3 linked regions of the Notamacropus eugenii genome follow. The protein of the gene in region 1 interacts with the protein of each later gene in a pairwise test. Links are inferred from orthologs where the notes say so. Each region holds a gene or a part of one and is shown in the gene's direction. Other genes may lie near its edges.

What was found. The genes of interacting proteins can lie anywhere in the genome.
Region 2: the proteins of NUFIP2 (region 1) and FBLN5 interact in binary tests that used the Homo sapiens proteins (3 or more experiments, as listed by UniProt). The link is inferred for Notamacropus eugenii from reciprocal best matches to the Homo sapiens genes NUFIP2 and FBLN5.
Region 3: the proteins of NUFIP2 (region 1) and PCSK5 interact in binary tests that used the Homo sapiens proteins (3 or more experiments, as listed by UniProt). The two-hybrid records come from large-scale screens. The link is inferred for Notamacropus eugenii from reciprocal best matches to the Homo sapiens genes NUFIP2 and PCSK5.

The regions. Positions count from the first base shown.
Region 1 is NC_092873.1:36,771,078-36,778,651, reverse strand, and holds the start of NUFIP2 (FMR1-interacting protein NUFIP2), read left to right. Parts: upstream 1-4,553; 5' UTR 4,554-5,231; coding exon 5,232-5,583; intron 5,584-7,574. UniProt on the Homo sapiens protein: Binds RNA.
Region 2 is NC_092878.1:38,570,865-38,578,360, forward strand, and holds the start of FBLN5 (fibulin-5), read left to right. Parts: upstream 1-4,479; 5' UTR 4,480-4,699; coding exon of another isoform or gene 4,700-4,716; intron 4,717-4,999; 5' UTR 5,000-5,266; coding exon 5,267-5,322; intron 5,323-7,429; coding exon 7,430-7,484; intron 7,485-7,496. UniProt on the Homo sapiens protein: Essential for elastic fiber formation, is involved in the assembly of continuous elastin (ELN) polymer and promotes the interaction of microfibrils and ELN. Stabilizes and organizes elastic fibers in the skin, lung and vasculature.
Region 3 is NC_092874.1:375,902,421-375,910,287, forward strand, and holds the start of PCSK5 (proprotein convertase subtilisin/kexin type 5), read left to right. Parts: upstream 1-4,850; 5' UTR 4,851-5,733; coding exon 5,734-5,922; intron 5,923-7,867. UniProt on the Homo sapiens protein: Serine endoprotease that processes various proproteins by cleavage at paired basic amino acids, recognizing the RXXX[KR]R consensus motif. Likely functions in the constitutive and regulated secretory pathways.

The DNA.
Region 1 (7,574 bases):
TAAAAGGAGGGGGCTGGCCTAGGTGACCTTTCTTAGGTCCTTCCTGGTTCCAAGTCTAGGCTTTATGCCCTGATCATCAGAAATAAAACTGAAGAGGCTGGTGACATATCAAGAGCCATGGTGGTGGCGATGGTGGTGGCTGTTGTCCTTCCAGATGATTCCCTTTCTATACTGTATCTCCCTGGGTTTTCAGAGGGGAGACTTATTAAGGGTTAAAATACTTTCTTTTGTAAGGCCTAGGGGCAGAAGCTATTTCTGAAAGCTGGTGATTCCAATAAATGCATGGCCTGCATGGCTATACCAGTACTATCCTCCAGTCAGAGGCTAGGGGCTAGTTCTCTTTAGCCACAGGTAGGAAATTATCAGGAAATAAGAATGTCTTCCTTTTGTACAATGTTGGGAAAAGCTCACCCGTCTGGTAGCACCTAGATGGACACTAATGGGATGCCCAGAGTGAACTGGAGCTAAAAGATGCTATTTGTTCTGGTTAACCTGATTCCATGCAAGAGATTGTTCTGATGCCAATCATCCCTTTCAGGGATTACGGACCATGGAGACAAGGCGGGGCTGGCTGCCATCTGCGAGTCATGGCCCCACTAGGCAGGATGATTAGGTTCAATGGGGACTTTCTTGAGCTGTATTCTTCTAGACTTGGAATTGGAGAGAGACAAACCTGGTAGTATGAATCTGAAGCTTAGCACACAGGACACAGTGCTTTGGATTGAGAACTGTACTCTTCCCCCAGATCACTTGAGACCATTACCTCATCCATTTTCATAGCATTTTTGGGCAGACCTTTCTGCAGATGGGGACACTGAAGTGCAGACTGACGTAAAGCGAGCTTGCCAAGGGTAGAGTTAACTATGTTAATTCTGTGTGGCCAGGTCACAGATAGAAAAGAGGCAAAGGAATTTTGACCTTTGACATAATTTTTGTACTGGGCACCACACCCTATTAGTTAACCATGTCTGTGTAGTTTGGTCTGATTTAAAATATAAAGTCGTTGAAGGAAAAGGAGGGTCCACAGAATAGAAAAATGATGGACTTAGAGATGGTGGCCTTGGGTCCAAATCCTCACTCAGCCACTTAAGTGCTGCCGATTTTGGGTAATTATTTCTTCGTGTCTCACTGGCCCTCTCTGTAACATGAAGGTTAGGGTTAGGTGACCTCTAAGGTTCCTTCTTGCTCTAAACTGTTAATTCTCTATCTTTTTGGACCGGACTTGGGATTTCATGGGTGCAGGGAGCTGCTGGGAAGAAACTCCCTGCTCCCAATGGAGATCTGTATTCTCTTCATAGCTTGTGGTCTTGGAGAGTCACCTGGGACACAGAGAAGGTAAATGGTTTGTCTGTGGTCAACCTGCCAGTATGTATTAGAGGCAAGACTTGAACCCAGGTCTCCACTACTGGAGGTTAATCTCTATATTATTTTCATTGTTCTTCATTTTTTTCCAATTTGGCCTTTGTACTGGAGGAGGCTTTGTAGACATCTTACTGTCAATTGCTAAAAATGGTAGATCAAATGCTATCAATGTGGGTGCATGTCCCAGCAAAGTCATTCAGAGAAGGATGAAGGGCAGCTCAGTTTGACAGAACTCTGGAATTCAGGAGTTCATCAAGTGTGGGTCACAATTAGTGCCCTTGGCATATACTGTCTGTTAGTTAAACCCCAGAAAACACCGTCATTTGATTGAGCTCAATGGAGGCCGATTTGGCTTTTTATTCCTGACAAGATGATACTCCAAAGGCCAGATGCCTGAATCGAAACCTTTCATATCCAGAAAGTCATCTTATTCTACTTGCTGAAAGACTAACCTGAGCTCTCCTTATCTCCATCTAGTCACTCCAAAAGTCTTTTTGAAGCTTGTATCTCCAGGGAAAAATTCTGAGATCTAAAAGAAAAAAAAATGAATGAAAATTTTTTTTCTGTAATGGAATGAAACACTAGATATTTCACATTGGAAATCCTGTAATTCTGGGTGCTCTGTGACTTGCCTGATTTTGAAGTTGGAATCACCATCAGAGGTAGGTCTGATTTCCACATAAATACATTTGGACAAGGCCTTTTTTTCTCTCTAGATTATAGTTTGTGGAAAGTGAAAGTTAGTTATTACAGCTATAAAACTGGACTCTGCATTGCCAACTCCTCTGATGCTATGTGATTTCACAACAAAGAGAAGAAGCTCTGGGATGAAAGATTATTATTCCCAGAGCATTAGAACCAAGAGGGACCCCACGAAACAGAGGCCTTGAGAGGGCAAATTATTTGCCAACCAATGGAACATGAGGCATTTCTCATTAAATGTAGCAGCTTCTCCTACGTCTTTTGAGACTGAATCATAAGAGTATAAATACAAGGTGAAGGATGTATGAAAAATTATATTTTAATTTTATAACTAAAATTTTAAGGTACATTTCTGGAACCACAGAACTTGTGTGCATTTTAAAGATTTCATGAAATATTAGAACCATCGTGACTAACATTAAAAATAATAATAAATGCTTTTTCTTAGCAAAGCTCGTTCGTCTCTTAATTTTGCTGAGACCACTTACGAGCTGCAATTCTTTTCAAGTTTAGGAGTAACACAAGATGATTTGTCTAAGGCAACAGACACCCACAGCAAGAGAGAGGAAAAAAGTGTTACACCTCATCCTTGGTCTCCAGGAAGGAGAAAAAGGTTTTGGGTTTTTTTTTTTAAATGTTAAGCAGGAAATCTCAATTTCTCTTTTTAGTGTGCTATACTGCTTGCCAGATTTTAGAAACCACAAGGTAAATTAACATCTGAAAGCTATACTCATCTATTAATAAAACTGCTTTTAAATATCAGAGAGGATCTCTGAATGAAATTTTGATTTTTTTTAACCTCTTAAATCACGATAGAAGAATAAAGATCTGGGAAAAAGCTGGTGGCTTTGGGGTCACTGAGGTAGATAGAGTCACAGTACTTGAGAAGTCCTTTTATTAAAGGCATGCGGCTCCAATTTTAATAAAGAAACCCAAAAGTCAAAATGATTGACAACTGGGACAGAAGAGAAAGCACATAGGATATGCGAGGTCAGGGTATCGAAGGAATAAGTTTGGAGTTTCTCGAGTCAGGTCAACGCTGGTTTACTAACTCGTTGGAATATCAAATTCCACCCCCTTTCCCCACTTTTTTTTCCTTCTCAAAGAGCAGTAACCAGACATGACATCATTATCAGTTGAACATTGCTCATTTATAGGCAGCTTCAGGGCAAAGTATATTAAGTGGGGGGAATATATTAACTTTAATTATTTTGGGGAGCCAAGGATATAGAGTTGTCATTATAAGAGACACTGCTCTTCCCTTCAAGACAGCTTTCAGACAGGACAGAGTTCAGATATACCTACTAATTAGCTATTATGAGTGGAAAATAAATAAATGCCATCCATTTCCTGATCTCTTAAAAGTATGCTGATTCAGTATCACTGGTCACATCACATATTTAAGGAATTCAAGAGCATCCAACCTAGAATCCAGGGGGGACCCGAGTTCAAACACATGCTTAGACACTCACTAGCTATATGACCCTGGGTATGTCATTTAACTTCTCGAGTGTGCCTCAATGTCCTCATTTGTAATATCGGGATAATAATAGCACCTACCTCCCAAAGTTGTTGTGAGGATAAAACGAGATGTCTGTCAAACACTTTGCTGACCTTAAAGCGCTTTATAAATACTAGCTATTAATCCCTTAGTTGGAATACATATTGGACAAAATGGGAAAGGGCCTTAGAAAAAGTCATGCGATGTTTTTGTTTGGACGGAACTTGACCTGAAAACGTCCTAAGTATTACCAAGGTCGAGTAAACTTGGTTTGAAAGCGCTTCAGAAGAAGCCAGGAGAAGTACAGCCGAGGAGTTCCTAGACCTGGCGGCTCTGGCACGGCCGGCCCTGCGGGCACAGGACAGCAGCTCTCTCCTCCGGTCCAGGTAGCTCACTGGAAGCGAGGTAACAGGTTTGGGAAGTTCGGAGAGGAAGGCCCGCGGAAGGGAGTCCCACGGCTTTCCCAAAGCCCCCGGGGAAGTGACCTGGGAGCAGGTGGAACTCCTGGCAATCTCGTGTCTCAGGTCTGAGTCAAAGACTCGGAGGGCAGAGGTATCCCAGCCCCGCAGCGGTCTGTGAGCGGAGGGGGAAGCGAGCGCCCAGCTCGTGTGTTGGGCGGCAGCTGCAGTCCCCAACCCGGGCTTTGGATAGGTTTGGGTTCCCCGTGTTCATCTGGAAACGACCGGCCTGTGCGCGGAAACCTGTTGCTGTCTGACCCGGGAGCAGGTCTGACCTAATCCTGCGGAGAACTCATAAAAGGGAATTACAGGACTGACATCACATTTGCTTTTATAATCACATGTTGTTATGTAATAAACACGGGATTATTTTAATTGACACTCTAGGACCCGGCGCAATCCTCTTATTTCACCCTCATTTCTGTAAAGCGTGAGAAGCCCAGCTCGCCCAGCCGGCCAAGGGGATAAAGAGTATCCCCTCCTCGCTCCCCCGGCCCCTCGGGCACAAGCCCCCCACGACCCCCTCCCCAGACAAACGCCTCCCCCGCCCCGAACCCGGGGATCCGGAGGGAGACTTTCTGGCGAAGTTGGCGGGGCCTGCCCCCGGCTCTCGCGGGGAGGGTCTCCGGTCCCCAGGGCGTGGGGCCGGGGCGCGGCACGTGCCCCGAGGGCGGAAGGGGCCCAGGACCCCCGGCAGCCGCGGACTCCGGAACGACCGGCGTTTAAAAACAACCGGTGGCGCGGCCCCAGACTCCCGCGGCTCCGCCGGCCCGGCCCCGGAACGGGCGGGCGGGAGGCCCGTGGAATCTGCCGCTCCGGACGCGAGCTAGCTGCGGGGGCAGGCGTGTGGAAAGTGCTGCTGGCGGACGGCGCCGAGCCCCGGGCCGAGGCCCCGACGGCGCAGAGCCATAGTGCTGACGTTGGAGGCCCAGCCCTGTGAGGTTGCGCCGGGTAAGTGGCGCTCGGCCGGGGAGGGCCCGCCGAGAGGGCGGGGGAAGGGGAGGAGCGGGCCCGGGGGCGGGGCCTGCGGGCCGGCTCGGGCCGCCGATTGCTGGAGGGCGGCTGCCAATCTCCGAGAATCCCCCAGTCAGCCGGGGCCCTGGCGAGAGCCACTCAGATGTACGGTGTGTGCCCGGAGAGCAGCCCGAGACGGTCTGGAGACGGTGCAGCAGCCCGCAGCCCCAGCCAGGGAGTCCCCGCCGCTTTCAATGGAGGAGAAGCCCGGCCAGCCCCAGCCTCAGCCCCCGCCGCCGCCGCCGCAGTCCCAGCAGCCGCCCCAGCACAGCAGCAGCAGCCACAGCCACCACCACCCCCCGCACCACCACCACCCCCAGCAGCCGCCCCAGGCAGCGCCGGCGCCGCCGCCGCACCACCACCACCACCACCATTATTACTACTACAACCACAACCACCACCACCACCACCAGCACCACCAGCAGCCGCACCAGTACCTGCAGCACGGGCCCGACGGCAGCAGCCCCAAGGCCCAGCCCAAGCCGCTGAGACATGAGCCCAAGCACGCCCTGCAGCCGCACCAGGAAGCGCCCAAGAAGAAAACAGGTCCGGGAGCGCGGGGGGTGCGGGGCCGGGAGGGGGCCCGGGGTCACGGGGCTCGGGGACACCCTCCCGCGCCGCTGCTCCCGCCCCTGCTTCCGCCCGCCGGCCGGCGTGACCTTCCCGGGCCCCCGTCCGCCCGGCTCGGGCCCGCTGCCCTTCCACGCGGGGCGGGCGCTGCCGGGCCAGGCCGGGGCCGGGCCGAGGCCTCCCCTCCCCCGCATCCCCCGGCGCCGCCCGGCCCCGGCCCACCTGTGGACCCGGCGGGGCTGAGCCGGGAGGTGGGGGCGGGGGGCGCGGCGGGGCCGAGGCCTGGACCAGCCGTCCCTTTATCGGCCTCGTCCTCGCCGCCCCGCCCGCCCTGTCCCCTCGCTGTCCGGGCCGGGGCCGGGGCCGGCGCGGCTGGAATGTTCTCCGCTCGTCGCGGGGCCGCTTCCTGTCCGCCATGTTGGGAGCCGATTCCTGTCACAGGCCCCGGGGCCCTGCGGGGGGGGGGGCCCGCGAGCCCGGCGCGTGCCCCGCCCCCCCTTCCCTCCCCCAACCCCCGGCCTGGCCGCGGCCCGGCCCGGCCTCGCTCCCCCGGCGGCGGCCCAGCACCGGGAGCGGTTGGGGGTCGGGCCACGCGGGGAGCGGCGGCCGCGCGGCCTCCAGCCCTGCCCGGTCCGGCTCCGCCCGCGGCCTCCCTCCTCGCCAGGGGCGGTGGTTGGCCGGCCGGCCGGGCGGGAGGGGGAGGTAAGGCGGGCCGGCGGCCCGGGAGGGGCGGTGGCCGGGGCGGGGGGGGGCAGCCACGCCACACCACGCTGAGTGTTCTCGGGGGAGCGGGCCTGCGCCGCCGGCTGTTACAACGCCCGGCCCGGGGCCGCAGGGCCGAGCGAGGCCCCGCCACCGTCCCCTCCCTTTCCCCTGGCGGGCCGGGCCCCCGGCGTGCCGGCCGCGTGGAGACGGGGCCCCGGCCCCCGCCCGAGGAGAGCAGTTTGGGGGCGTTATTTTCTTAAAGCCCCCCAGGATCGTGGCCGAGCGGCCTTCCGTGGATGGCCGGGTCAGGGGGAAGGGGAGACTTTTGGGGGCCAATGTGAACCTCCGAATCCGGTGTCCGGGCTTGGGCGCAGGCCTTGGGGCGAGCGGGGGCAACTTTTCCCGGATGTTTGAGCCTTAAGTCCGGTCTGCCCCCGCTCCTGCCGCGCGGCTTCTGCCCTTGTGGGCTCTGGGGTTGAGACGGGGCCCGTCGTGGGCCGGGGAGGGGGCGCGGGACGCGGGCCCCGGGGTTTCCCTGAAAGTGCTTTGGGGGGGGAGTTTAATCCCGAAGGTCGGAGGCCGCCGAGCCCCTGGTAATAACGGAGCTAATGGCCCTCGGCGTCTGCGGGAGCAGCCGCTCGGGGAAGCCGCCGCGCTTGTTAGCGTTCGGTCTCCCGAGGAGCGGCCGCGCTCTGGGTCGACCCGGCCCGGCCGTCGTCCCTCCTGGCGGCCTCGTCCTCACGCTCCCCCCGGCGTGATGCCCCCGGGCCGCGCTTCCGAGAGGCCACCGGGAGCTCCCGAGGGGCGCCGCGCCCCCCACCTCGCCGAGCCTGGCAGGAGTGCTCGTGGTGAAACTTTGCCAGGTGGTGCCCGCACGTTGGCGAGGACTGGAGGAAGCTGGGCCCCCCAGCCGGGAGGAGAGGCCGCTCTCGGGCGGCTGCCCGCTAGGGGGCGCCCGAGGGAGGCCGCCCGGAGCCAGTGCGAGCCTGCGTCCGCAGCCGCCGGCCCTTTCCAGAACCCAGTAGAACTGGAGTCCGTTTTAAAATGGAGTTTTGTGCCCGGACAGCTGCCGGGCCTCGGGAGAAGCCGGCCGCGGAGGGTGCTTGGACGTGATGCTCGGCTGGCTGTTCTCCTGCAGTTTATGACTTGTGGGGGCTTTAAGCCTTTAAGCGCAGTCTCGTTAGCCTAGTGGGTCCTGGAGTGAGAGAAACGGTAGAAGGCCGTAAGTTAGGCCACAGCGCGGGGCTTGTCCGAACTTCAGT
Region 2 (7,496 bases), on another chromosome or scaffold:
AAATTTATCTCTAAAAACATACATTAACAAAATGAAAAACAAACTAAATACACATATTAAAAAATTAGCCAATAAATAACTCTCCCCCCAAAAAAATTAAAATAAGAAATATGGAAAAGTAGTGGAGAACTAAACTGGAAATAGAAAAAGACATTAGAAATGATAAGACTAAAACCTAGTTCTTAAAAGCTAACAAAATTAGTAAGCTTTAGCAGACCTGTTATAAAAAAGGGCAGAAAATCAAATCAACAAAATAGCAAATGAATAAGGTGATACCACAACAAAACTAGAGGAAATAAAAAGAATTCTTAGAACCTACTATGAACAGTTATATGCTACCAAAACTGAAAACACAAAAGAAATAGAGGAATACTTTTAGAAATATAAAATACCTAAGTAACCAACTAGAGATCTTCTATAATCCAATCTGAGAAAAGAGAAATAAAATGAGTAATAAAGGGCCTACCAAAGGAGAATAGTCCTAGTAGATTCACAGGATAATTCAAACTTCTAAAGAACAACTAGTTTTAATATCATAAATTAACTTAATTAATTTAATACCATACAAAGTATTCTCAAAAATTGAGAAATTGTTTTATCAGACTCTTTTTGGGATGAATATGGCCTTGATTCCTAAATGAGGGAAAGATAAAGCAAATAAGAACCATGAACTGATGTCACTACTGAATATTAATTAAAGACATTTCAAGTCCTGTCAAACAAAACATACATCACCATAATCATACAAAGTATAAAAACATCCAAAACCACACGATTATCTCAAGTAACAGAGATTATTGTAATTATAATTACAGTCACATAATTATAATTAATTATCTCAATACTTTGCCTTTGACAAAGTACAATATTCATTTCATGCTACAAATCCTATGAAATATAGGCATAGTGGGATTTTTTGTTAATATCAGGAAATGTATGTGAAATCTAAAAAGATCGGATCCACTAGAAACTTCTACAAGAAATACAGGAATAAAGCAAGCATGCTCAGTTTTTCTGCTGTTATTTGACATAGTTCTGGAAATGACAGCAACAGCAATAAATCAAGAGAAAGAAGTTAAAGGAGAAAAGATAGGCAAAAAAAGAGTTATAAAATGATTCCAATTTGCTAACGACACTATGGTTTATTTAGAAAATTCTAGGTGAACAGCAAAGATTTCAATTGAAACAATAGTTTCAAAGTTTCTAGCTGCAAAAATAACAGTATTTCTATATAACAACCCAAAAATAACATTTCTATATTATAACATCAAAATGAAAGGTAAATACCGTTCAAAATAACTACAAAAGCACAAAATACCTGGAGCTCAATCTATCAAAGTATACAAAATACCTGTTTGTACTCAATTGCAAAATATCCGTTATGGAAATAAAGAAGAACCTAAATATTTGGAAAACTATTCAATGATCATGGTTGGACTGTGCCAATATAATAAAAATGACAGTTAAAAGTTATAATTTTCAGAGAGAAAAAAAGAAACTTGATTACTTTATTATATATTTAAAAGAAATAACAGGTTATACATAAAAGATTTGTATTTTCAAGTGATTTTTTTATTCTGCTAAATTATGGAAATGCTTATCTTAGGTTTACAAATTAAAAATAAATCAAATTTTAAGAAAATTATAGTTTTAATACTATACCAATCAAACTATCAAAAGGATATTTTACAGAGCTTGATAAAATTATCTCAGTTCATTTGGAGAAACAAAATATCTAGACTATAAAGGAAAATAATGAGGAAAAAAGGTAGGGATGAATAGGGGAGTGCAAACTCTATTATAGCCTGTCAGTTATCAAAACCAGTTGGTAATGGTTTAAAAAAAATAAGGAAGTAGATCAGTGGATGGACTAGGCAAGGAAAGATGAAAAGAAATAGAACTCAATGACCCGATGTTCAATGAACTAGAAAACATAAATTAGAAAAGAACTTATTAGATAAAAACTTTTGGGAAAACTAGAAAGTTGTCTGGCAGAAAATAGAATTAGACCAACACCATTCCATCACATTCCACAATGCATTTTAAATGGATAGATTACCTTAAGATTAAAAAACCATACATAAAAAATGAGAAGTAGATCATATATGTTTTCCACAGGTAGAAGATGTATTTTTAAACCAACAGTTGATAGAAATAACTATACAAGATAAATATATGAAACTTAAAAGCTTCCACGCGAACAAGATGAATGCATGTAGAATAAGCAGTTGAACTGGGGGGGGGGGCAGAGGGATCTCTATCAAATTTGTCTGATAAAGATATACAGACTACCAACACACATGCACATATATTGTGGTACATAAGTATAAAGAAATTTTACTGTGCTGTAAGAAATGATGACTAATGAATACTGGAAAGCATGGAAAGACTTACATGATTAAACAAGTAGCAAAATATACTGTCCAAAATAACAATATACACAATAACTGCAATGACATAAATGGAAATAACAGCCACAGAACTATCAAAAACAGATGTTTAAAAATTACAAAGGTCAAGCTCAGTTCCAAAGAAGTAACATGTGAAGACACCCCCATTGCCCTCTCTCCCTGGGACAGCATGCAATCTGATGATTTCTAGACATATATTCTTATTAAGCACATTTTCACATTAGTCATTTTGCATAAAGTTATTAAAATGAATGGGGGAAATCATGAGAAAAAACAAACTAAAACAAAACATAACACAGGAGAAAATGTTCTGCTTCATTCTGCATTCCAATTCCATAGTTCTTTCTCTGGATGTGGATGGCATTTTGCCTGAAGAGTCCATTGGGAAGTTTTTAGGTCCTTCCATTGCTGTGAAGGGCTAAGTCTACCAGAAAAATTCCTCACACACTGTGGTTGGTACTATGTACAATGATCTCCTGGTTCTGCCCCTTTCACTCAGCATCAGTTGATGTAAGTCCTTCCAGGCCTCTCTGAAGTCTTCCTGTTCGTCATTTGTTATAGCGCAGTAGTATTCATTTCATTCATATACCACAACTTGTTCAGTCATTCCCCAATTGATGGGCATCCCCTCAATTTCTATGCTTTCCTAACCTTTGCATACTCTCCGTGACACTGACCTCCTTGCTCTTCCTCAAACAAGACCTTCCATCTTTTGATTCCAGTTATTTTCACTGACTTTGTCCAATGCCTGGAATACTCTCCCTCTTCATTTCTGCCTTCTGGTGAGCTTGTCTTTAAGTCCCAGTTGAACTCCCACCTTTCCTGGTCTCCCATAATTCTAGTGCCTTCTCTCTGATGATTCTTTCCAATGCATCCTGCATATATCTTGTTCCTACATAGTTGTTTGTGTATTGTCTCTCCCATTAGTCTGTGAGCTTCTTGAGATTGGTACTCTTTTTTTTTTTTTTGCCTTTTTTTGTATCTCCAGTGCTTAGCATAGTGCCAGACAGACTGTGCTTTATAACTGTTATTGACCATTGACTGAAATGTAAGGTATTTTGAAAGCAGAATTACCTTACTGAGAGCATCCTCATATCTCATGCCTGCTTCTTTTTCTCACATCCTCCTATTATTTAAGAAAAGCAGGGTAGTATAATGAAGAAAACACTGAATTTGGGAGGCTGAATCCCCCTTTTGCCATTGATTATGTATGTAACCTTGGGGAAGTCACTTTCTCTGGCCTCAGTTTCTTCATCTGTAAAAGAAGGGGTTCAACTGGGCAATCTCTTCCTTCCCACTTTAAATCTACTATGATCCATGACCTTTTTTTAAAGCAAAATCATGAACCAGCTGTAAAGGGATGCTAGAAAGATTAAAGTTAGAAATTTGCTGTTCAAAAGTTGAAGTGAAGGGTTAGAACCCTGTCTTTTTAATTTTACTAGCCATTGGTATATGATCTTCCTTATGGCATTTCTTTTGGCAAATATTCATCCCTTCTATCTTTTTATCTCTAAATCTTCACTTAATCTGTGCTAATTTCTAATAATAAATCAAGCGCAGTGGTCATTTGTAGCTGTATTCTACAAGTTTCTATTCTCCCGAAAAAGGTTAAAAACTTTTCTTCAAATGCCAATGACCTGGAGGGCTAAATCTTCATAACTCCCTCTCATCCCCTGACTATCCGAGGCCTCTGCAAAACTCTGGGATGTTGTAGCTGGGAAGGAAACTAAAGGGTGAACGTACCCCCGTGTTCCCACCTCCCTCCATGCACTTGATAAGTAGTCCTCGCCAAGAAAGATGCTCTCTGCAGAGTGTGTGTGTTTGCTTGCTAGAATCCAGGAGGAGAGGCTTTCCTTCGAGCTCTGAGACTTTCGTCCTGGCAGACGCCCCAAGATTGTTGTGAGGAGTCTAGCCAGTTGGTGAGCTCTCTAATCTGAACCAGCTGTGTCCAGACTGAGGCTCCATTTGCATTGTTTAACATACTTAGAAAATGAAGTGTTCATTTTTAACATTCCTCCTCCAATTGGTTTAATGCTGAATTACTGAGAAGGACTAAGCAAAACCAGGTGCTTTCTCTGTACTCACTCCAGTGCCTCAGGAGGCTCAGACCCTTACTCTGCCCGCTTCACTACTTGCTGTACTGGAATATCATTAAAACAAGAATCAAAGGGCAGAGAGAAGGTTGAAGTTCAAGAAACGCCTTTGAGTAGTAGGCACTGGGATCTTTTTTTTCCCCTTTCTTTCTTTTTCCACCCACCTCCTTTTTTTCTTCTCCACACATCTGGGACATGCCAGGATTAAAGAGGTAGGTTCTTTGTACGGAACTTCTTTCTTCAGGGATTGGAAAGACTTGCTCTATAGCCTGCTGTGTGGAAAATGTCTATGGCTGAGGTTCAATCTGTGTCAGGACACTGGAAAAGAGATTTGCTAGTGATGCAACAAGATTGCTAATTATAAAAATGTGCTGTTCAGTAATTTCCATCTTGAAGATCTTTTCTGGGGGGGGGGGGGAGGGTGGGAGGAAGGGAAGGGGAGGGACAAGGAGTGGTGTTGTATAATAGTTTTAGAAGTCACATTGTCTGTCCCAGGACTGCAGAATTCTACTGCTCCAACGCCAGTGCTTTCATCTAAAAAACACTTTCACAGACCGGCAGCAGCTTTTTTTTACCCAAGCTGATTTACCCAAAAAAAATCACTGATTTGAGAGACCAAGCTTAAGTTTACTAGCAATCTTCACAGAAAAGAATTGCTATTTTGTATGTGTCATCTGCTGGACAAAGCATCGTGCCTGGCTGAACACATTTACACTCTTGTGCCGGATTGTACTGTATGTCTGTGTGTGATTCGCAAAGGGAATGAGACCCAGAAGTATAAAGCCAATGAGAAGTGCGGATTGCAGACAAAAGTACATGTAAGCAAACTTTATGTTGTTCATTAGGGAAAATTAAGAGACAGATAAGTGATTCTTAAAATTAATGACTAAGAGAGTGACAGCTCCGGGATTCTTGTCTAGTAAAAGCCTGTAGATTTCTTTAAATCAATGGATTTCAGTGTGTGTGTGTGTGTGTGTGTGTGTGTGTGTGTGTGTGTGTGTGTGTGTGTGTGTGTGTTGAACTAAAACAAGCCTGGGATCATCTCTTCTGACAGCAAGCAATGCCATTTGATAGGTCCCTCCTCCCCTTTCCTTTTCTTTAGGGGAAAGGCATGGAATGGATGCTTCACCTGCTTTTTTAGAAAGTATCCTGGATTGTGAGAATGAGAATGAGAAGTTGTAATCTAGCCATACATCTGACGACATATATTTTTTTCTCATTCTCTTTTTGATTGCTTTGATTTTGGTTGTCCAGAAGAGCAGAATGTAGATTCAGTGTCACAGAAGTTATTCGTAGGCAAGAAGTTTTGCTAATGGCATTTTGGGGCTCCTTCGTAATTGTAAAAACTTTTTGCTACTGATTGAAACTTTTTTGACTCCCAGAACTTGCCTGTCACTCTGCCAAGGGTGAGAGCCTTTGTCTGGGTGCCTTGATCTGCTCTGAAGTTTGAGGGGAGACTGTAGCTGGTGAATATCTCTAGCCCAAAGGTCGGAAGAATGGGTGTTAAAATAGATTTTGTACCAGCTCTTGAAGGTACTCAGACTACTCAGCCTCCAATATAAATGAAAAGTGGTTTAATAACTAACTGAAAGGAAACTTCATGAGGAAACAGGAAAACATTGAAATTCATAATAAACAGGCTGGAAAATAAATTTGTTGTTGCTCTTTTTAAAAAAAAGATATAAATTTAGTTTTTGTGAATTAAAAAAAGTCCACTACCACCACAACAAAAAAACTCAAAACAAAACAGCTCTGGGATGTAGCTATGAACTTTATAAGGTTAGAACAGTCTCCAATAATATGAAACCTGGCTAATGCTGCCTTATATATTAAATAGCTAAGAAACCATTGGAATTTCAGAGTATTTCTTTATTTGGGGAGAGTGATCTTGCTTAGATGAAGAAACTGGGAATTATGAGTCCTGACTTTGCTGTCTTTGAATAATGGTCAAATTACTTTATTTTTTTTCAACTTACCCAAAGAATAAATAGACAAAGTCATATGGGTCACAGAATAAGTATGTGGAGGTCAGGTCTGCATCTAAAGAGAATTTGTTGATTGAATAATAGTTTTTCAAAAGAAGAAATGAATGAATTATCCAATTTAGACAAACACATCATCAGTCTAGACAGTTCAGTTTTGCCTTTCTTCTGATTGGTTGACTGAGTTATTCACATTCATTGAATATTTGATCAACCTCCCTATTAACTGTGAAGAGTTAAATTTGAGGTCACAGAACATTAAACTTAGGCAGTATTTTCTAATGTCCCCACTACTGGTTGATGGAAGACACTGATAGGTGTATCTAGGCTAGATGAACATTTATATTAAATGACACTGGCATCAACTTCATCTAGCATTTTGCTCTTTGGAACTTCAAACATTTCCCATTGATCATCTCATTTGTTCTGATCTTTTGAGGTAGGTCACAAGGATCATCATCTATACACACATTTATAATAAAAAATTTTCTAAACTCAAGCATTACTGTCTCTGTTTGCATTCAAAGTAAAAACTTGGTAAATGCTTAATTTGCATCTGACAGTCCTCCCTGTTTCTCTAGCCTCTATAGCACAAAATGCTATTTTTGATTATAAAAAAATCTTATTTGAATGAGAGGCCTCATGGTGAGGGGGCTAGATATCCAACTGCAGAGTGAGGAAAATCTGGTTCAAGACTCCACTTTGAAACATACTACCTGTGTAACCCAGGGCAAGTCACTTAATTACTGCTAAGATAATATATTATGGAACATTTATCAATTTGCATTGGTAAAAGAAATTTTCTTCTTTAGGAGTTTTCAACTTCAGTGAAATCATAGATCTGGACCTTCCTCCTCAAAGTATTGTGTTATAACACATTCATCTAGTACTTAGACATTTGTATATATAAAATATTTATGTTTGATTTCTCATCCCTGTTTAGGATACTGACTGTTTCCATTCTGACTCTTTGTCTCACAAGTCCTGGACATGCACAGGTGAGAATGAAC
Region 3 (7,867 bases), on another chromosome or scaffold:
TACTATAAGAAATGATGAGCAGGATGCTCTCAGAAAAAATCTGGAAAGACTTGTACGAGCTGATGCAAAGTGAAATGTACTGTGTACAAAGTAACAGCAGTATTGTAAAGTGATTAGCTGTAAATGACTTAACTATTCTCAGGAATATAGCAATTCAAGACAACTCTGAAGGACTTATGAAAAATGCTATTCATCCCCAGAGAAAGAATTGATGGTGTCTATATACAGATTGAAGCACACTTTTTTTAATTTTATTTTTCTTGATTTTTTTTGTCTGTTTCCTTTCACAACATGACAATTATGGGTATGTTTTACATGACTGCACATGTATAACCTATATCAAACTGTTTGCCTTCTTCATAGGGGTGGGGGTGGGGAGGGAGGAAGGGAGAGAATTTGGAACTCAAAGTTTTTAAAATGAAAGTTAAAAATTGTTTTTACATGTAACTGGGGAAAATTTTTTAAATAACTTAATTTTTTAAAAAGAAGAAAAAAAGTCCCACATACCTGGAATGAACTTCTTCCAAACCTCTTCCTTTCTTCAGTGTCCAATCTAGGAGCTACTTCTCATCCCAGTAACCTTCCCAACTATGCCCCAGACGAACATGATCTCTCCTTTCCAATTTTCTTGGAGGATCTCTTCCATATCTCATTAGTAGAGGTGTCAAATAGGCAGCCAGAGGGGGTCATGTTGCAGTCTGTAATACTTTCAGTTGCTAGATTAACATGTGATTTGGAAATACAATATAATATTGAATACAATAATATAAATACAGTACAATATAAATAAATATACAATGGAACATAGTATTAATATGTAGTTTTCTAAGTCAATATGCAGCAGGCAAAGAGATCCTTATCTATGGTTTAATGGTCCCAGTTTCTATATGATTTTGACTCCCCTACTCTATTGCATACATATCATATTCTATATTTCATTCTACATATTTGTAGAATGGGCAGCTAGGTAATATCATGGATAGATTGCTGAAAAATGAGGTTAGAAAGACCCGAGTTCAGAGCCTACCTCTAACACTCATTAGCTACATGACCTGGTCAAGTGACATAACCTCTCCCAGCATTAGTTTCCTCATTTATAAAATAAGGATAATAATAGCACCTATATCACTGGCTTATTACAGAAAATGATATTCTGTGTGTATTACATATATGCATATACTTAACAAACTTAAAATGCATTTTATCAAATTTTGGTTATTACTATTGGTTATTACTATTTGCATATATTAGATTATAAACTTTTTGAAGGCAAGGACTGTGTTGTTCTTCTATCTCTGTATTCACAGTACAATTAGTTTCATGTGGTAGGCATGTAAGATTTTTCTTAAAAATGTATTAAACTGAATTCTAGCTAAGAAGCTTGAAAAAGGATTGAATGAGATCTCTCAGGAGACAGAGATTTCTCTCAGGATTCTGGAGAGGTGGAGGTGTTTTATAGGATTTCAACATGTCCAACGAAGCTCATTTCTTTATTCTTATTTTCTTTCTACCAATGCAATCTGCACAGGGGAGAAATTCACACACCTGCCAAACTCTGGTCTGACATCAATATCTTCAAATAGAGGTTTTCTTCTAAATGTGGTTGGGGTGAGGGGTGGAAAACTGTACTTTTGCTTGCTTTGTTATAGGAAGCGCCCACTGAGGAAGCTCCTTCCACAGAAGCAGAGCTCCAATTGTACTGCAATTCTCAGTCTGAAAGTCTAAATGACTTGCCCAGGACCACACAGTTAGTTTGGGTCAGAAGTAGGATGTAAGCCAGGCCTTCTGGACTGCAACTCTTTCTGAGGCCAGCTCTCCATTCCAGGTTCCTCACCTGCTCCTCTAGTTAAGTGGGAAGGATACTAGGTAAAAATGAAATAGCCTGAATTACTTGTAATCGTAACAATAGGAATTCAAAATTTGATTCACCATGTTAGGATCAAAACACTCTCTTCTTGACATAAGAAAAAGTGATAATAGCCACCAAAGTGCTTTAAAAATATAAAAAGGCTTATATAAAACAGATCTAGCTGGCTTTTTCCCTCAATCCATGGGCTTTTTAATTTTGGTTCTTTTCCCAATAGTAACAATGGGTTTACACTGAACACACTCTTTGGCTTGGTCCCCTGTGTAACCAATGACTCACATTTGTGATTGGGCTGGCTGGTAGACTAGATATAGTCTAAAGTAATAGAACAGAAATTATATTTGTTGGAAGTTATTAATCCATCCTAGGGATCTTTCTACTCTACTCTATAAGCTTTCACCAGCTAAGCTAACTGGTTTCATCAAATGGGAATCAGGAATAGCAGAAATGAAAGTGTGTTCATCCTTCATTGCTGAAGAAGACCATGCCATCAGAGAAATAATGACATGACTTGCACTTGACTTTGTTTTTGAGTGAGGGAGGGCTGTTCAGGTCACCAGCCTCACTTCTCCTCCAGAGCCATCTGAATCCAGTAACCAGATATTCATCAGGATGACTGGAGATGACCCAGGATGAGGCAATTGGGGTTAAGTGACTTGCCCAAGGTCACACAGCTAGTGAGTGTCAAGTGTCTGAGGTGGGATTTGAACTCAGGTCCTCCTGACTCCTACAGTGGTACTCTATCTACTGCACTACCTACCTGCCCTAGAAATGAAAGTAAGAACTAAGTGGTGCCTGGATGTAAACCAGGAGACCTGTACTATGAATTGGCCTGTGGGAAGAAGGTTCTGAGGCTATAATCTGTGAGAGCATTATTTTAAATAGAAAGGTGTGTGTGTGTGTGTGTGTGTACTGTAAATGTGGAGAATAAGATGAATGGGTCAAGACCTTAAATAAGGATTTGAGGAGTGAATGGTGGTTCCACATTTTGTTTGGTTTCCAGAACTGGTTTCCCTTTCCTAATATATATTCATCCAAATGGAAGAATATATCCTTTGAGTAAGCTAAATGCTGGTCCAGGTATTAGTTTACAAAGCAGAAAAGTGGTTGTCCACTTCCTACCTTACTTAGAAATTCTCGTTCATGTTCAACATAGCAACTGTTAGGTATGCCAAGAAAGGCATGGCTACAGGAGGAAAAAGTGTTATTGGAAAGAAGAAAAAGAAAGAGTCCATGGAGAGAAAAAAATCAATGAATAATTCTACCACTTATCCTAGGAAACAACAACCCTTACCACAAGGAAGTTAGGTTCTGTGGAGGTATAGTAATTCCTCTAAGTTTCATTTCAAATTTGAAACTCATAGGTAATTTTCCTTTCAAAGGGAAGTGTCTAAAGCTACACTCCCAGAATTCAACAATTAGAGAATGAGAACACTCAAGGAAATACAGATCGATGTTTACAATTTTGACTCATAAGGTGGTGGTTTAATCTCCTTTAGTGGTGGTTAACCTTTGGGGATAGTGTGAGTGATTTCTACATGACTTTCCTGCAAAGGTCCATAAGAAAGGAAGACTGTTTGTCTCTCTCACTTTGAAAGCTTATCAGGGACCAGAACAAAGTCTGTTTTTGATTGACTTTTTTGAGTGCATGTAGTTTAGGTTTATGTGAACGAATTAAACAGCTTCCCCATACATAAATACCAATATGGGAGTTTACTACCTAGTCTGCAAACAAAAAATTACTGGGTTGGAGGAATGAATTAAAATCCCAAAATCTAAGCAAAGTAGTCTAATGCTTAATCTCTAGCTTTATATTTTTCAGCCTATACATTGAAGAAATAGACATATTTGTCCACTATGATAATCTCACAGGGGTGCTAGTTCAATATTGACAAATCTCTTGAGAAGAAAGATAAATGCAAAGTATTGTGAAAAGCTTGGATTGAGATAAATTAATTTTCTACAATCTAGTAATGGTAATATAGCACTGAGAAGGGGGAAAGAGATACTTGTCTTGATCTGGAAGACAGCCAGTGGTCTGAAAACTGATAAATATAATTCAGAAGGGGCAACTTTGCTCTTTTGCTGAGAAATCACTTGACCCAATGGGGAGGGGCAGAAATGAAGTAGAGAAGCATCTGTTAAATCATTTCTGTGCTTTTTCTTTTCTTGCAATTACTATTTAGTGTAAAGAATTAGAGTTGGCAGAAGAGGAATATTTATTCAGGACCTTCCATTTGTGCCCTTTTATTGAAGTCATTTACTTTTTCCAGTACATAGAGTACTTGAAAAGTTGGACAACTTTTGCCCTAGTTTATAAAAAATAAAATTAAAAAAAAATTAGACAATGCAAGCAGCAGATACCCATTCCCTTGAACTGAACAACTTTTATCTTATTTTCATATGGAATGTTCATAGAAAAAAATTAACCGGGAAATTTTATTCTCCCATGGAATTGTGTAGTATGGAGTGCACTGCTTTTAGATGTCAACAAGTCCATTACTTTCTCTGGCTATGGGAATATTATAATGAGTTAGAAGCTCCTTCTCTGGAATAGAATGTGTGAAATAAACAGTTGGTGAAAAGGATGAAGAATTAACGAAGTGAAAATCTCAAGTTATTCCTTAGGCAATTGACATGAAATTGACCTTCTTAAATGCTAGCTGTTAAAGGACGTTCAAGACCAAGGATGAATGAATCTCTAGGTCACCCAAACTATATGTTTCTCCAGTCTTTCAGGAAGTAGCAGCAAAATTATAAGAAGCGCCGGGCTGGGAAAGTGGAACCTCAAACCCCAGAACCCACTAGGTTACATACACCTTGTATGTAACAGCGTGCAGTTTCTTCTTGCCCGGGATCCTGGAGGTTACGTTCAAAGAGTCGGCGCTAGGACCTAGTCGGAGTCTGGATCCGTACCGCTTTCGGACGGCAGGAGGAGGGAGGGGGTGAGGGGGAGGTGGGAAAGAAGGGTTGTGTAGGGGGTGTGTGTGGGGGGGAGACTCATTTATGCAGAGAAGGCGCTGCTGCCATTTCAACTCACACTCCACACTCACTACTCGGAGAGGGAGGGAGGGAGGGAGGGAGAGGGAGAGGGAGAGAGAGAGAGAGAGAGAGAGAGAGAGAGAGAGAGAGAGAGAGAGAGAGAGAGAGAGAGAGAGAGAAGGGAGGGAGGGAGACAGAGAGGGAGACAGAGAGAGAGACAGAGAGAGAGAGAGAGAGAGAGAGAGAGAGAGAGAGAGAGAGAGAGAGAGAGAGAGAGAGAGAGAGAGAGAGAGAGGAGGGAGGGAGGTTTCTGAGTCTGACGGAGCAGAAGAGGCGCTCAGCTGCCAACACTCACACTGCCTGCTGCTGCTGCCGCTGCTGCTGCTGCTGCTGCTTCTGCTGCTGCTGCTGCTGCTTCTGCTTGCTGCCGCTGCTGCTCTCTGGACCTAAGGAGAAAAGAGGGAAGAAAACACAAGATAATCAAGTGGGGAGATAAAGAACAGGAGTGAGAAGGAGGTAAAAGAACTGCGGTGAAGAAGAAAGACAAACTCAAAACACTCATCTGTACAGAGAAAACCAAACAAACCTAAAAGCTTCAAAACTGGGAGAGCAGCTCCTGTCCACTCACTTCATCTCCTGAAAGGGAGAAGATTGGGTAGTTCACCTTAACAATCAGAGATGGTCTAGAAGCCGGCGCAAGGTCCAATGCAATATTCCAAGCTATTTCTAGTTTCTTCCACCTAAATTTGGAAGGGTTTCTCGCTGCGGCTGGGGATTGTCTGACTGGAAGTGGTAAACATCAAGAAGCCGCTGGAACCCAGGGGAAAGGGAGCTTTGAAAGAGTTGTGTTGATTGGGGTGGTTTCCCAAGGAGGAGAAAGGACGATGGGCTGGAGGAGTCGGTGCTGCCTGGGGCGATTGGACTTGCTCTGTGTCTTGGTCCTCCTTTTGGGTTGCCTGCTGCCCGTGTGTAGGACTCGCGTGTACACCAACCACTGGGCTGTAAAGATCGCCGGGGGATTCCAGGAGGCCAACAGGATAGCTAGCAAATACGGATTCATCAACATTGGACAGGTAACCGGCAACATCCTATCCCCTACCCCCATCCCTTTTGTTATCTTCCCCTCTCCCCCCTCCTACTCCGGACTCTGAAACTTTTCCCCATCCCTCTCCCTCTGGAGCCTCAGCGGTGGAGATAACTCTGGCAGCGGACCCCGGTGAACGAAGCTGAGCTAGCGGCTCACTTCCCCGCCCCCTAGCCTCCCACTTCCCCTACCTCCAGATGTGCGGCTGCTTGCCTTCTCCGGTTGTCCCCCCACCCCACCCCCTCGTGCGATCCTGGGACACGCACTCAACCCAAACGCATGCCACACTACACAAAATTCTGGAGGTTGTTTGCAAGTGGTTCGGGGCAGGAGGGGAAGGGGTGGTGCTTTCCTTCAACTCGGGTCCTCAGCACATTCCTCCTCGTGTGTGTGTGTGTGTGTGTGTGTGTGTGTGTGTGTGTGTGTGTGTGTGTGTGTGTTATTGGAGGGGGGTGTCTAGAAATAAGTCATTTGTTGGCAGCTCGGAGAGGTCAGACAGAGAAGAGGTTAAACTGGATAGCACCGACTTGAGACTAGAAAGAAGTTTCCGAGTCTAGAGACTGAATACAGTGAAGCGCAGAAGAGAAGGGCGTTTGGAGTGGAGAGTGGAGTAGGAGAAGGGGACGGGAGGGGTGTGTGCTGGAAGAGGGCTTTCCCTTGGTGGAAGCCCTGTTGCTTATTTGGGAAAAGAGCTCTCTCCCCTTCTTCCCTCCTCTCGGGAGGGGTGGAAGTGAACCAGAGAGTCTAGATGTAGCGGGTGGGAATGGGAGGTGGAGGCTGGAAACTTCTCCCCTAAGATCTGCCTGCGGGTTCTTGTCTGGGAAGGTTTTGAGTCTGGTGTCAGGACTAGAACCTAAGATTAAGAAAGCGGTGCGGGGTAGGAAGGGCGGACTGAGTTCAGAGTGCAGCAGGTAAAAAGATATTACTCCACCTCAGTTACATTCGTTGTGTTCATCTTATTTTTTTAAAATGATATTTATACCATTCACAGGCACAGATTCCGTTCCCTTCACCATCACAACCCCCCCCCCCCCCCCCCCCGCCCCAAGCTGTCCTGTCATTTAAAAATGTAGATAAAATGAGGTGATTCTGTGGGGATGGATGATTGGAAGCAGAACAAGGAAGCTTAGCTAAAGTCCTGCATTACGTGTAATTTACGTGTGCCCCTTTTCCCAGCCCCCATCCACGCCCCAGGTAACTCAGGGATTATTGATCTCCATCCATCTCCTTAGCTTTCCCGTTTTTTTCTTTACCTCTTCATCCCAACCCTCAAACCAAACCAAATCAACACAAACCAAAACAAGAAACCTAATGAACTGGGAGGAGCTGGGGGAAACTAGTCCCAGAAATTAAACACGTCTCCCCAGACACGTACGCGTTCTTCTGGAGCTGAAAGGGGAGTGGAGGTGGGAGAAGATTCCAAGTGGAATAGGAGCCCCTCAGGCCTTTCTCTCTGGGACTCTCCCCCACCCCCCTCCCCCGCCCGTCAGCACAGCCTGCGTGTTCTTGTGGCTTGGCCTCGGGTACGATGGGAGGTGAGGGGCGCCGGATCTGAGGGCCGAAGGGTGCTGCTGCTGCTGCTGCCTTGATAAAGAGACCCACAGAACACAGGGTTTCTTAGAAAGTCTCCGCCTTGCACATCCGTAAGCCGTTTATGCTATTTCCAGGGAATAGGAACCTGAGGCTGCTATCTCACAAAGCCACTTGTGCCCGAACAACGAGATCGGAGGAGGTTGGTTACGCTTGGCACTGGACCAAAAAAAAAAAAAAAAAAACCAAACAAACAAACAAACAAAAAACGTGGGGTTTGGGGCTGGCTGGCTAACCAACCGGCTGAGGCTGCTGTTGCGAGCAATGCTGCCGCCGCCGCCGCAGCCCCTGCCAGGGTGGCGTGGAAGGAGGGAGGAAAGGGGGAGGGAGTTTCTATCCCGCTA